Linked DNA regions of Rhinolophus ferrumequinum. The protein of the gene in region 1 interacts with the protein of each later gene in a biochemical or structural test. Links are inferred from orthologs where the notes say so. Each region holds a gene or a part of one and is shown on either strand. Other genes may lie near its edges.

The links.
Region 2: the proteins of RAB6A (region 1) and BICD1 form a complex in vitro, tested with the Homo sapiens proteins (3 studies listed by BioGRID). The link is inferred for Rhinolophus ferrumequinum from reciprocal best matches to the Homo sapiens genes RAB6A and BICD1.

Annotation. Positions count from the first base shown.
Region 1 is NC_046294.1:48,923,489-48,930,778, reverse strand, and holds the start of RAB6A (ras-related protein Rab-6A), read left to right. Parts: upstream 1-4,290; 5' UTR 4,291-4,803; coding exon 4,804-4,873; intron 4,874-7,290. UniProt on the Homo sapiens protein: The small GTPases Rab are key regulators of intracellular membrane trafficking, from the formation of transport vesicles to their fusion with membranes.
Region 2 is NC_046293.1:41,120,149-41,127,208, forward strand, and holds the start of BICD1 (protein bicaudal D homolog 1), read left to right. Parts: upstream 1-3,979; coding exon 3,980-4,192; intron 4,193-7,060. UniProt on the Homo sapiens protein: Regulates coat complex coatomer protein I (COPI)-independent Golgi-endoplasmic reticulum transport by recruiting the dynein-dynactin motor complex.

The sequences.
Region 1 (7,290 bases):
CTTCTCCTCCTTGGCTGAATAAATTTTACACTTCCCCCATAACATGTCCTTGTAGGTCAAGGTATTTGGAAAACAGGTTTTGCCATGAGGCCTCCCCTCTCTTTTTTTCCCTTATAGTCCTTTTAAAATGAGACGTGCTTAAACCTTGCTTAAAACTTGTTTAAACCTTATACCTTGTGTTAGTTGTGCTCCTTTAATTGGTCACCTGGAATTATTGAGCATCTGTTATTTTTATGCTTTGTATATTGACTCACTATTATTTTTAGTATCAATGATTATAATAACCTGCAGAGTGGGTAGAAGGGCTTCACATTTGATACAATTTGAATTCCTGCCAGAGATATTATTTGTTTCAAATATGAGCAATATGATTTCAATCCTTTTCAATCCCTGGACAGTTTTTCTCCTTCTATTGATTTCCTGCCTCTCCAAGAATAATAAATCCTTTTTAGGGAGCAGTAAATAGAAAAAAGCAGTTCCAGTTTGGTAGCTATTACTGTATTATGTATATCATATACATTGTTATATGTGTAACATATATTAATATATATAATACACACACACACACACCCATACACACACATAGTATTGAGTGCCTAATGTTCAAGGAACTGTGCGAGGTGTTTAAAGGGATCAAAAGATGAGAACATCAGATGCTTTCAGCTGCAAGTAACAATAACAAAGACATATGTGAAAACATTACTAAATATAAAGACATTTATTTTTTTGCTAAAAAGAAGCCAGAGGAAGGCCAGTTCCAGGGGAGGTACAGCGGCTCAATGATGACTTTAAGTTTTCCGCTTAGCATCATCAATGGGTTGGCTTTTGTCTTCAGGATTATATATTAATGTTCACAAGATGTCTTAGTTCTAGATATCTTGTCCTTATATAACCACATCCAATGGCTGAAAAATGGCACTTTTTCCTCATCTATCTCTTTTCATCAGGGAAGATAATTTATCTTCTAAGTCTCTGGGATATTTCTTCATCTGCCACTGGCTCAGATCAAATTACGTGCCTATAACTTAGCTGAAGGGAACCTGGAAAAGTATCTGTCATTACCAATATATAATGTGGAAGTGTGTGTGTATTGTTGGACAAACAGTAGTGTCTGCCACAGGAATACAATGAAATCTCAGTCCTCCTTCAAGAAGCTTTGTGTCTCTAGAGGCAGAAAGACAAGCTGCAGTTATATTACAATTTCTGTGTGGTAGCTTCCTGGACACATCCATGGGCTTCAAATGAACGATCCCTTTTAAATTTATCAAAGAAGACTGCTCTAGGTACTTTCGATTTGGAGTTGTCAAAAGTTGTCCTCTCTGATTTTGAGTGATGCTCTCTTTCTCCAAAACACTCTTGCCGTTCCATCTCCACGTGCCCGAATTCCATTGAACCTTTGAAGAAAGCTAAAATAATCTCTCTCATTTATTCAGCAAATATCTGTTGCATGCTTACTATGTAGCAAGCACTCTACAAGTGTTGAAAATACAGGACCTCACAGAGCTTAGTCAGGTGGGGAAGACTGACACTTAATAACAATGAAGTGATGGGGAAGACTAGGGTACAATGGGAGGACAGGCAGGGGTACTTCATACTGTTAATGGAGGTGGGAGCAGACAGAGAAAGCTTCTTGAAGACTTGTTAGAGATGATATCTGAAGGATGAGTAGGAATTGGGGGGAGGGAAGAAGGAAGGGAAAAGTGTTCAAGGTAAAGAGAATAGTGTGTAGAAAATTATGGAGGTGAAAGTGTTGGCGAAAGTGCCCTTGGAAAAAGCCTCTTTAATTTCCTTCTCCCAAGTAATTTCTTCATTTGATGAACGTGTAGCACTTAATATGCAACTTTTAGACCATATGTTTTGCTCTGAAGGCAAAACATTATTTACACAGATAAATATGAACGCAGCTTCAGAGAAGAATGAGGCTGTATATGTGTCAGTGCAAAATGCTAGGTTAAAATATTCGAACATCTGAGGTAAGAGGTAGATTACACCACACCTCTCTTCAAAATAATAGAAATAACATCACCTTTCTAGGTGACCATAGGGACCAGAGCAGCATGGAGAAATTGATTCATAAAGTTCCCGAGGAGGTACAAAGTAATTATAGTTCCAATCCTCAGATGTTACTTTAAAGGCTATTTCAGGAAACATAATGAAAATCTGGTACCCATCAGAAAGAAAAAATAGCAACTCTTGTTTGAAAGAGGTTTTCTTTTTAAATAATCTCTTGGTATTGGGTGTTCTCTGTGTGTGCCAGGGTTCTGAGTTACTGGTAGCAAAAGCCTCCCAAGACCTGACAAGCTATTTTTAAAATGAATTTTTTTTAAAAAAAAATCAAATGTCCATATTACAACTCAGGTTTTTACCATTTCATTTTAGATGCATGTTCCAAAATCTTTCTGCCACTTAGCTGAGAGGAATCAGAAGTTAGTAAATTTTGATGGAGACGGAGGCTTGGGGATATAACTGTTGTCTTGATAGGCTAGAATGGATATTTTACGAATCTCTGTTCCTCCCCTTAATTTATTCTAATTCAGCAATTCATGCCTAGTTTGAGAAGACACTTACTTGTTTGATACTGCCATTTCTATAGCTAAGTAAATAATAACCTCCAAATAATGAGAAAATGTATGTAAATGTGTTTTGTGACTAGTAAGATACTATATACAAATGTAAGGACTTATTGTTTCATTATTAACTTGGGAAGTATTTTTGATACCAGTTTTTAAAAGTGTTCTCTTCAAGCGCAGAGATTACTTTTTTGGATGCTATCCAATAGCCTAGTCAAGTATGGCTGAAGTACGGTGAAGTGTAGATGCCAATTTCTCTAATTCAGTGATTCTTAACCTTTTATTTATTCATCTTTTATTAATAGGTGTTTTTTAAAACTTTGTATTTACAGAAAAATTGAGCAGACAGTACAGAAAGTCCCCATATACCTCTCCCCCACTGTTCCCTCTCATGTAATATCTTACATTAGTGTATTTCTTACAATTAAAGAACCAATATTGATACATCATAATTAACCAACGTCCATCTTTATTCAGATTTTCTTCGTTTTTGCCTAATGTTTTTTTCTGTTCCAGAATCTCATTCAGTTTAAACTTATGTTCAGTTGTCATGTTAATTATATCCACATTATACTTAGTTGTCATATCTCCTTAGGCTTCTCTTGACTGTGACACTAGCCTGCATTTTTTGGGGCATGAGCTATGTTGAAAATCTGCTGAATGCTATGATTCTCTCCACAGGAAAATGCACGTTTCAGATATTTCATTTAAGAGAGGTCCACCAACGGTAGATTCAGAAGCCCTATTTTAGGAGGAACGGATGATCTTTAAAATATCCCCTTCCTCACATTTGGTCTCAAGAACAGGCTCTACCTCTAATTTGTTGTGTGACCTTTTTGCAAAGCTGTTTTCCTACGTGGGCTTTAGTTTCACCATCGGTGAAATGACGGGTTTGTTTTACGTCTAAATCCTTTTCTAGCACAGAAGGTGGCACCTAGAGTTATCACTATCTGAGGAACAAAGGCTGGCACAGAAGACCAAGTCAGGTCAAGCCAGGGAAGTGATGGGCTTATCAATAAGGAGATTGCAAAGGTTCAATGGGGGGAAAAACCAAAACCTGGCTTCCACTTTATGTTTTTGTGGGTTTTCTAAGTTATTTCCTTCCTTTGAGCCTGTTTCCTCATCTGCAAAAATATGGAGGCCCTGCTTCTTACTGTAGTTATGAAACTCCTGGGAGCAACAGCAGAGCATGTACCTAGTAAGATACCGTGAGAAGATTAAGAAGATGAAGGTGGGTAGGTGCACGGGTGAAGGGCGGATCTGAGGAATGTGAGACAGGGCTGAGGGCTCAGGATAAAGGAGCCTAGTACACGTCTAACGACTCTCTAACCCCACCTGTACAATGCTGGGTTCAATGTATCACCTTCCGGCCCCGCCTCCGTCCCTCCCCTCTTCCCCTCCCCGCAGGCTGCGACGCGCCACACTCCGCATGGCCGCCACCGTACAACGCTTTCCACCGCGCGGCAGCCGCGCGCGCTCTCGCGCCGCCACCTCACTCCGGTCCCTGCCCGCCTTTGGTCTCTCGCGATTGGCTCATCCCATACGTAACGTATTCCACCCCCTCCTTATTCCACCTCCTCACTTCCCCAAGTTCCGTCCCGCCTCCTTGCTTCCCCTGACGCGAGTCGAAACCAAACCTGCCGACGTCTCCGCGGCGCGGGAGGAGCCGGGAGAGCAGGCTAAACCAGGAAAGTGCTGGCTGTGGCGCGCACGCGCACGCTCCCACGCACGCACGCCGGCGGGCGGCGGGGCGGCAGGCTCGCGCCCAGGCTCGCCCAGCGCCGCGCCAGAGGCTCGCGCACTCAGCAGGTTGGCCTGCGGCGGCGGCAGCTGTGGGAGCTGAGGCGCTGCGTGTCAGAGGTTCCAGACGTCTGCGGCTCCGGCCCCGCCACCCTCTGCCTCTCACCTCACTCTCCGTGCCTGGTGCTGAGAACAGAACAGCACTAGCCTTGGGAACCCTGAGCACACCCCTGACTGCTTCTGACACCAATCTCCTTCCCTTCCCAGCCGCGGGCCTCGGTCGGTGCCAGGCGACTCCGCGGGGAGGCGGTGGCGACGGCTGCCTATCTGTGGAGAGCAGTCCTGCCCCCTAGCCTTGCTCCGCCGTCGGCCCTGCTGGGGCCGAGAGAGCTCGGCGCCCGCCCTTCCTTTCACCCTTTTCATCAACCGATTGGAGTAGCGTCGGTCCGGTAGGTCTCTGGGCTGAAGCGGCGGCAGCTCCTCCGGTTCCATCATGTCCGCGGGCGGAGACTTCGGGAATCCGCTGAGGAAATTCAAGCTGGTGTTCCTGGGGGAGCAGAGCGGTGAGTGCGTGGCTACCCCACTCCTGGCGGCTGGCCGCAGCTTCCCCGCACCGCCCCCAGTGCGGCCCTTCAGTCCGTGGAGGCTCCCTGCCGGCCTCGCCTTAGCGCTTCGTTCCACCCCCAGCCCTTCCCGGGGTTCGCCGACCCCTCTTAGCCACCGGTTCCTTTTCGCCTTGATCCGTCGGTCGGATTTTGACCCTTTCGTGCCCGACTCCGGCGTCTCCTTTCCCCGCAGCCCGACCCTCTTCCGTCGATCTGCCTCCCTATTTCCCACCCCGCCCAGCCTCCTGTCCATCCCTTTCTTCCTCGGGTCTCACCCACCCCAGCCCCCTTTCTTGAGCCCCACCCTTATTCCTTGCTCTTATTCCAGTTCGTCAGCTCTGTGAGGCCCACCCCGGGAAGCCCCACTCCTGGGAACCGGCCCTCTTCAACCTTGGGCATGGAGGGTAGGATCTGGGCGTTGTTTTCCCCAGAGGCTTGGCCCTGAGAAGTGCGGATCTCATGGAAGGGGGGGGGTGTCGTAGAAAATTCCTGGATGGTTTTCACTTGGATGGGGAATTAGTCTGGGTTATAGAAGACATATATCTGAATTGGAGGCGACTTGAGGATGGAGTGGTTGAGGGGTGAGAGGGTTGGCGATGGCAGTGGCAATTTTTACCCCTTGGGTTAGGCTGTGGCTTTTTGGAAAACCTCATTTTCTTCCCTTGACTTTCATCCTTGACAATTCTTTTGGCAGTGTTGATGCTTTTCTGGTCTCTGCCAGATGCTATGTCATGATCGTTTTACTTGGAATTTTTCACATCTCACCTCTCCTTTTTCAACATGAAACAGTATCTGATTCTCCTCATGGTGGTGCATACAGGAATTACTGGGAAAATGTTAAGTATTCCTTTTATCCTTGAGTATTTTCCAGTTATAGATGTAGGATTTCTGTGAAAGAATGCTTGAGAATAACAAATATCTTTGTTTAGTGGATTTCCTTTGGGAGTATTGGAGTAGAGTAAGAAGAATAGATTCATCATCTAGTTTTGAAAATTAGATCGAAATATGTAATATACCCCTTCTGCTAAAGGACTCCTTTATGTTTAATATTCCATAGTATCTGATGAGTGAAATTCTCATTTACTTGGTCAGGCTTCTGCTGTTGTTATAGTTTGTATTCCATACAAGATCCTAGTTTTGTGATGGCTGTCTCTAAAATTACTTCTTGTAATTTCATTTTTATGCTGTATTATGCAAACTTGACACTTGGCAATTTAGAGATTATCATTCTTTGTTTTTCTCACACTTATCATGACCATCTTTAAAATTCACACATTGAGAGATTAGTTTCTCACAAGTCATCAAACATTGTTACCCACTTGGTGTCTTAGGTTAGACTATAGAAAACATTTGTTATCTTTTGGTTGGAAAGAAGATAACTGATATAAATTCAGAGCTTTTATTACTACCTTGAACTATTTATACTATTTTGTATGTCATTAAAGTAGGTTAATACTAGTTGCAAAATTGCTTCCAGTTGGACCTGAGAAATCATTTTTCTCCTTTCATACATAATCTTTCCCCTTCCCCCTTACCAAGGAAAAATGATGTCTTCTCTTTGCTTTTGAATTTTCCTGAAGTAGGTATAAGCTTGTTTCTTTAAGTAACTTGATTAACCTATGAGGTTGATCCTGGTCCAGGTGTTTTATGGTAATTTCAGGATAGTGCCATACATAAAATAATAGCTTATTGGTCATTATTGATAAATAGGATCTAAAGTGCTTATTGTGTACTCTAGGGATGTTATTGCCTGCCTTCTGTTATGATACAGAGCTGTTTAGTTTGCATGAAAAATCCATTAATATCTCTCATAAGAAGATTTTAGTATGAATAGAGATTATAACCAGTATCTCCAGGTTTCCTTTGAATTTCTTGAGTATTTATGTTCTAATTCACATTGCAGAGTGTTATGGCTTTTCATTTCTTACTTTTTAAAAGTCTTTAATAACTCTTTTCCTCCCCAATTCCTGAAGCCATCTTAGATTTTTTTTTAAATAGACTTTGTTGTTTTAGAATAGTTTTAGATTTATAGAATAATTGAGATCATGCAGAGGGTTCCCATATAGCCCCACCCAGTTTTCCCTATTATTAACATCTTACATTAGTGTGCTACATTTGTTACAATTAACCAATATTGATACATTATTATTAATGAAGTCCGTAGTTTATTCAGATTTTCTTAGGTTTTTTCTTTTATTTATTTTAAAGATTTTTTATTAAAATACAGCTAACATACACTATTATATTAGTTTGAGGTGTACATCATAGTTATTCAACAGTACCCACCTAGCTCTAACCAGTGTTATTACCGCATTATTGATTTTATTCCCTGTGCAAAAAAAGTGATCACCATAAGTTCAGCAACCATCTGACAC
Region 2 (7,060 bases), on another chromosome or scaffold:
GAGTATGGTGGGGTGGCATAAAGACAAGGTGGGGAACACAGGTAGGAGAGAAGGGTAGCAATCAGCATTTCCACAGGGGCCCTCACACAACTAGACGCTGATCCCTGGAGTTGCCCAAGAAGAGAGGGTGTCCAGGACGAGGGGATTTCTGTGCCCAGGAGAGGTTTGGGGACTGAACTTTCCTTCCCTCTCAGATATACTTGCATGTGAATAGCAACATGCCCGTGACCAGTGTCCCAGGTTCTACACCTGTTTCTTCTCGTAGAGATGTAGGGAGGGCCTGGTTCCTTCCCGAACTTGCATTAAACTGTTGATTGCCCCACTACAAGACTTTGCTAGATCCCTCATTCATTGTCTTATATGAGCATCCTCTGTAACCATGCCCTGGGACACCAGTGTGGGGAGGAGGGGAGCTCCTGATTTAGTTAGTTGGGCTATTTACAGATTTTTCTAATGCATGCCGAGAGGCTGAACAGAAGAATCCTGACTCTTCTGGTTCTTGTGTAGTGTGAAATTCATTTGCCGTGGGAAATTTTTAACTCAGTGAATGTTTGCATTTTGAAAGACCATATACTTTTAAAACTTTAGATATAATTGACATGTAACATTGTATTAGTTTCAGGTGTATAACTCCTAAATTCCTTATTCTAACCTGCTTAAATCTTACCCTGTTTTCCTTCAAAAACGTAACAACTGAACATATATGCTGCTCCGATGTGGCAAATATTCCTCTATTCACAACAAGCTCATTAGTAGTTATATCATCATCTTTCAGAAGGAGGCCACGGAGGCACACACAGCCAGTAAGGGGCAGAGTTGGATTTGACCAAAGCGGACTAGCTTCTGCTCTTAACCACTATGCTGGATCCCGCCTGTCAATGTTATAACTTGGAATTAGTGTATGAACTTATCTCTTTGTTGTTGCTTGGGTTTTTTGGGTCTGTTTTGTTAGTTTGTCCCTCCCATAATAAAAGCTCCATGAGATCAGGGATCATTGACCATTGACATCACATTGGTCATTGATTTCACAGTGCCTACTGTTGTACTGAGGACATAATGGGTACTTACTAAACATCTGTTTAATACTTGAATGAATGACTGAGAGCAAGAGAATGCAATATTTATGCTGACAAAGTTGGTTTGGTGAGAAGATGGTTTGAGGTACTAAGTCACAAAATACAATTTTTCCTAAATATTTGTAAGTGAGAAAGTTCCATAAGCAATTGGAGGCTGTTAGGATAAAGAAATACGAGGAATCTCTACTTCCAAGAATGGTTTAAGAAATAATTTTCTAGATACTTGTCATTGATACATCTATATCTATGTCTATCTATATCCAAATCTATTCTTATTTATCTGTATTTACACCTACACTGACATTTCTATGTCTATATCTTACATATACATGATATGTATGACATATACATGAGAGAGAGAAATGTAACTATACAGTACTACAAGAGTATGGTGTACAGTATAAGTAAATAAGTTTAATTTTTTCAAGTTAAATACCAACATAGAAAGGATCAAAGTTGTAATAAGCAAAATCTTGTTAGGATAGTGTACATGTCTGAATGAAGTCAGACTGAATACATTAACAAAAATGTATCAATCAGAAAATGGTACAGCATAGAGCATAGGGAATGGGCCGCAATGGAACTTAGAAAAAGGGAAGTCACAGAGGCAAACTCCCTTCTTCATTCTACCCAAAGGAAAGGGAGACGCAGGCAATCTACTCCAAGTGTTATGATCCCTTTAAAAAGGCTATGCTTACACTTTGTGGAGAGATGCCGCCAGGGGCAGACTGGGAGGAAGGCAGTTTTAGCTAGCTGCAATTACAGGTTTCTTTTCTTTTCTCTTCAGCAGTTCATGATCATTCACCATTGTGATAGAGGATGCGTGCTACAGGAGCACACATGTGTGGCTTCCCAGTGCAATGCATAGGTGAAATGATGTGGTCATTATCATCCCCGCTCTCTGCCACGTTAGAGTTCATGGTGGTCGCAAGTGTCAGGTGTTTGCTCCATTTATTTATTTATCTATTTATATTTATCACAGAATATTATGTTGTAATTGGCAGCATCTGGAAGGGAGCTTTCTTGTCTGTTTTGGGAGGCACTGGAAATCACACCATCAGCAACTGTCTTTTTTTCTTTACCATGCACACAATGATGGGAGAGCTGAGTCCTGCTTTCTAACTGAGGAAGCTCTGTGTGTGTGTGTGTGTGTGTGTGTGTGTGTATGTTTGAACACCTGGCCACTGAGAAAAAGCTGTGTAATAAGTGCCACCCAGGGGAGAGGCAAGGAACTGGTCAGACCATTGGTCTATTGATCCTACAGCTTCCTAGTTACACAGAAATGGCTCTTTTTGCTCCTATTGCTTCCTTTCTTCTTAGTTGTTGTCTATTCTCCTCTCTTCTCTCTTCTTATTCTCTTTCACTGACTTTGCCTTGACCTCCTTTTGTGACTTTTCATTGTCACTGTTCATACTGATTAAAGCGGTCATTTTTTGAGCAATTAATATTTAGCTGCTGGGTTTGTATTCGTAATAAGTGAAGGTGAAGCCAACATAATGATCCAGTTCAGGGCTTTGGCATTATGATTGAATTTTGGTTTTACCACTTCAGAGTTGCCTGACTTTGGGCAAATCACTCAAGTTCCCTGTGTCTATCTTTCATCACCTGTAAATTGGGGATAATGGTTCCTACCTCAAAGAGTTGTTAGGTTGGGAGAGAATGTGTGTACCATACTCAGAGGAATACTTGGCACATGGTCTCAAGAACTATTAGCTCTTACTATTTAAAACATGTTTATTGTAGGGTGTTGTTGACATCATATATTGTAAATTTCATGCAGTTTTCCTTTACTGAAGAATCCATAAAATACGTAATGGCACCTAGAGGCTTCTTTCTAGAAAGCTTGGGCGAGGTCAAGCAATCTTTAAAGAAGGCTTCCCTGACGTGGCAATAAGGTTATTTGTTAAGAGTGGGAGGTGAACCATGGCCAAGCTAGGGAAAGGAGGGGAAAGGAGGGGGAGAGAAGGAGACAGGAGCCTTGGGGCGCGCCTGGCAGGCTTTGGAAGCACAGCGTTTGGGTGCCAGAGGCCGGGGAAGAACGCTGAGAGCTCAGGCAGCGAGAAGGATGCTCGAGCCCCGAGCGCGTTAGTTCCTATTTGCTTTTCTTTGGGAAAGGAGCCGATTCCAGACAGTTTGCAGAGCTTGGGCTCACAGCTTAGCGAGAGACCAGGGTCGCCCACGCACTGTCGCGGGCTTGGATGTCCACTCGGGCAAAGCCCTGCGAGGAACTGACGGTGGAGCAGGGCGGAGGCTCCCTCCCCGCGCGCCCCCGGGTGCAGTGGACAGCGGCGGCGCCCAGCGCACCCGGCGGGAGGTGCCTCGGGATGTAACCGTCTGATTCTTCCTTCCTCCCCCCGCGCTGACTCCATCCGCCTCCCCGCCCCCTGCTCGGTGTCCCGGCCAGGCGTGAAGGGAGGGAGCGGGCCGGAGACTGCATCATTCCGCACCGGCTGCAGCACAGCCAGAGGGAGCAGGTGGAGCGAGCGAGTGAGACGCGAGGCGAAGCGCGCGGGGCCTGGGGGAGACCGCAGTGACGCTGCCCGGGAGACATGGCGGCCAGGCGCCTCTGAATAAGCAGAATCCCGAGCCCCACGCCGCCTCCGGCCGCTGCAACCCGGGCCATGCCGCACGGCTGCTGACCGCACGCAGGGGCAGGCCCAGAGGACACATGCGGCAGCAGCTGCCGCCTTGCCCCTGATCCTTTCCCCTGCATTCTCCATGTTGCATTTCACGTCAGTTTCTCGGGTAGGGTAGCTAGCTGCATTGCTCTGCTCGTTCACCCAGCTACACTTTTTCTTTTCCATTTTTACCCTTCCCTCCTCATTTCCTTCTCCCTTACCTGCCTGCTTTGCATCCATCTCCCCCACCCTGTCACCCGCCTCCTGCCTCCATCCACCGGGGCTATGGCCGCAGAAGAGGTATTGCAGACTGTGGACCATTATAAGACTGAGATAGAGAGGCTGACGAAGGAGCTCACAGAGACCACCCATGAGAAGATCCAGGCTGCCGAGTACGGGCTGGTGGTCCTGGAAGAGAAGCTGACTCTCAAACAACAGTATGACGAGCTGGAGGCTGAGTACGACAGCCTTAAACAGGAGCTGGAGCAGCTCAAAGAGGTGAGTTGTGTGTCACCTACTCCCTCCTCTGTTCTCCCCCCGCGCCCCCCCACGCCCACTCATCATTTATAAAGAAGTCGATAAGGATGCGATTGAAAGGATTGTTTCTTCATCTTAGAGCCCTTTGTTGATAAGAGAAGATTGAAAGAGTCCATTGTTTTTCCCATAAGAGGAAAATTGCCCAGGAAATGAATGTATAAGCAGGAATTTGGGATGCAGTGGCTGTGGGGGAGGGAGATTCATAAGAGTCTTGAAGTCTCAGCACTCTAAGGCGACATTCTACTAGGTTGGAATGTGTAAATCAAACTTCTGAAAACTGCTGTTAGTGCAAACCCAGGTTTCCGTGACAATCCCATAATCCCCAAGGTGATAAGTAGGTTTGTGCTGAGGACCCACAATTGCAGGAGGTACAATCTATGGCACCTCTCCGCCTTCTGCTGAATGTAACCACTCTGATGAGAGAAGGAGCTGTTAGAACATCCCGCCAATCTCATTTGACAAAGGCCGGGCAATCTTGATTCTCCTTGGCTTTAGTTATTCTTGTCAACTGGCTGCGGGTGAAAAACAACTCTGCTGGGTGATCCGCCTGCCTTGATATCACCTGAGTGAGGCAGGCTGGGCCTTGCACTAGTCTTATAAGGTCACCCTGACCAGGGAATAGTTAACCCTCCTACCAATGGTCCGAAGAATGGTATAGATCAAGTATGTGGGAGCTGTGCATTTCAAATGAGGCTCTTCTTTTTGAAATGGCTGTATTTATAAAACTGGAATATCACAAATAGACACTTGTCCTCTTTAGTCTTTTGGTATTTGGCTTCTTTTAAAGACTGGCTAATGCATTGGAAGAAAATACTGAATATGCTTTGATTTACTATCAAACACTCATAAGAATACACATATTATTGAAGGAATTCAGTCTTGTTTTATCTGATTCCTGAGGCACTATGGGTAGCGAGTAACCAGTTATAAATTTAAATGTACACACTGCTTTTCTTTGTGGCAAGTCTTTATTTTTTAGGTGCATAGAGACATTTTAAATGTTAACTTTAATTTGGTATATAATATTATCAATAATGTTTTATTATCAATAATGTCTTATAATGTTCTCAAACAGTTTTTTGGGGAGGGGCATATTGTTTTGAGTTGTTAAAAATATTATGATAGAACTAATCAGTTTGCCTTCTAATTTAGTATATAATATGGTGAGCATTTGTACTTTTAGGTACATCTTATTTTTATTCTGATGCCTACATACCAAAAAATAAATATATGGTAAAAATCCTACCTAGAAATCTGATTTTTGTGTATCCGGCTGTACATTTCTAGTTCATGTTTGTCTGACCACGTACATGTCTTAATAACAGCTGGACCTTACTGGTATTTTCCAACTTAGATTAGGTCCTAGGCTGATATGTTTAAATTCAGTTATGCTAAATCTTGTGAAGTCAGGAAACAGGATGGTGAGTGTAATTCTCAGAGATGTTTTGATGCTGAGATGTTTTGATGTTGTCTACCCCTATCACCACTGCTTTGCCACGAAGAGGAAGTACAAACCAGTCAGTGTTAAGCCATCACCTCCTTGATAAAGGACGTAGACATAATTGAATGAAATTTAATGAAAAGGAATGTAACTGTTAACTGACTCTGCTCGATTGAAACAACTCTTCTAGGGTTATTTTCTGTGCCATTGCCCTTCCCTGCGTAGTAAACGTTAATGCAATTGTCTTGCTATTACTAGACCATGAGCTCTTAGGCAAGGAATCTGTCTTAATTTACTTTGCATCCAAAGTGTTTAATGCAAAGCCTAACATAGTGAGTGTGCAATAGATATTTTATGAAATAATAAATTTATACTGGAAGAAGATACCTTTATCTAGCGTTCACTAGTCAATATTGGTTAGTGTCAGAGAAAGACTAAGAAAATTAGAAAGTATAGGAAGTGACTAGTATTAAAAACTACCTGTATTACTTTCTTCAGCAATAATGGGAAAAATGAGAAAACAGTGTTTTGTAGGAATAGTACAATACTGGTTTCTTAATACAGAATAATGCGAATACCAATTATAATTTTTTCTATAAAAATTTTGAGGCATATTTTCTTCTGTATAGCAGGAGGTTAATAAGAATTTATCAGGATTATTTTTACCAAATGATACTTGTTTACATATGTGATTTGAGTTGCATTTAGCATAAACGTAATTCAGTTTTAGGTTCCTAATGACTGGTTTATACAATTATACACTAGTAGGGTAATACAATAATGATTATACTTCATTATTTGATAGTGAGACCTGTTATTTTTATCCTTTAGCTAATATCATGTGTACTTAGTTGGGAGAATTACTTAAATCAGCTAAGTCTGTCTCAATAATTCTTCCTGTTTAAAAAGTAAATCCAAAATAATTGTGCAAATGAAGATATTCCAGTGATGATGTCACACAGAAGTCATTTTTGAAAAATATACTTTGTGAGTGCTCTGATTTTCCAGAAGAAAGTTTTGTTCGTATCCAGCTATATATAGTAAATGATGTTGCATTATATCTATGAAGCCAAATATAAAATAAACCTTTGGCTTATTTTTAGGCTCTGTCAACAAATATGATTCACTTACAAATAATTGGACCAGTTTATGGGAATGTCAACAGAAAAATACTGTACTAAGTCCACACTGGACATTAGTGATTTTCAGTGTGGTAACATGGCTCAGTCTTTACAGGTTGTTTTGTTTCTGAGAACCAGCACCCAGCAGTGTTGCTGCCTTTCTCGCCAGGCTGTGTGCTGTTAGGACAGTCATGCAAGTGAGCAGTGTTGCCTGAAGATGTGCAAAATCAAGATAGTGAGGTCATTTGTTTTTTTTTTCTAGCCGTG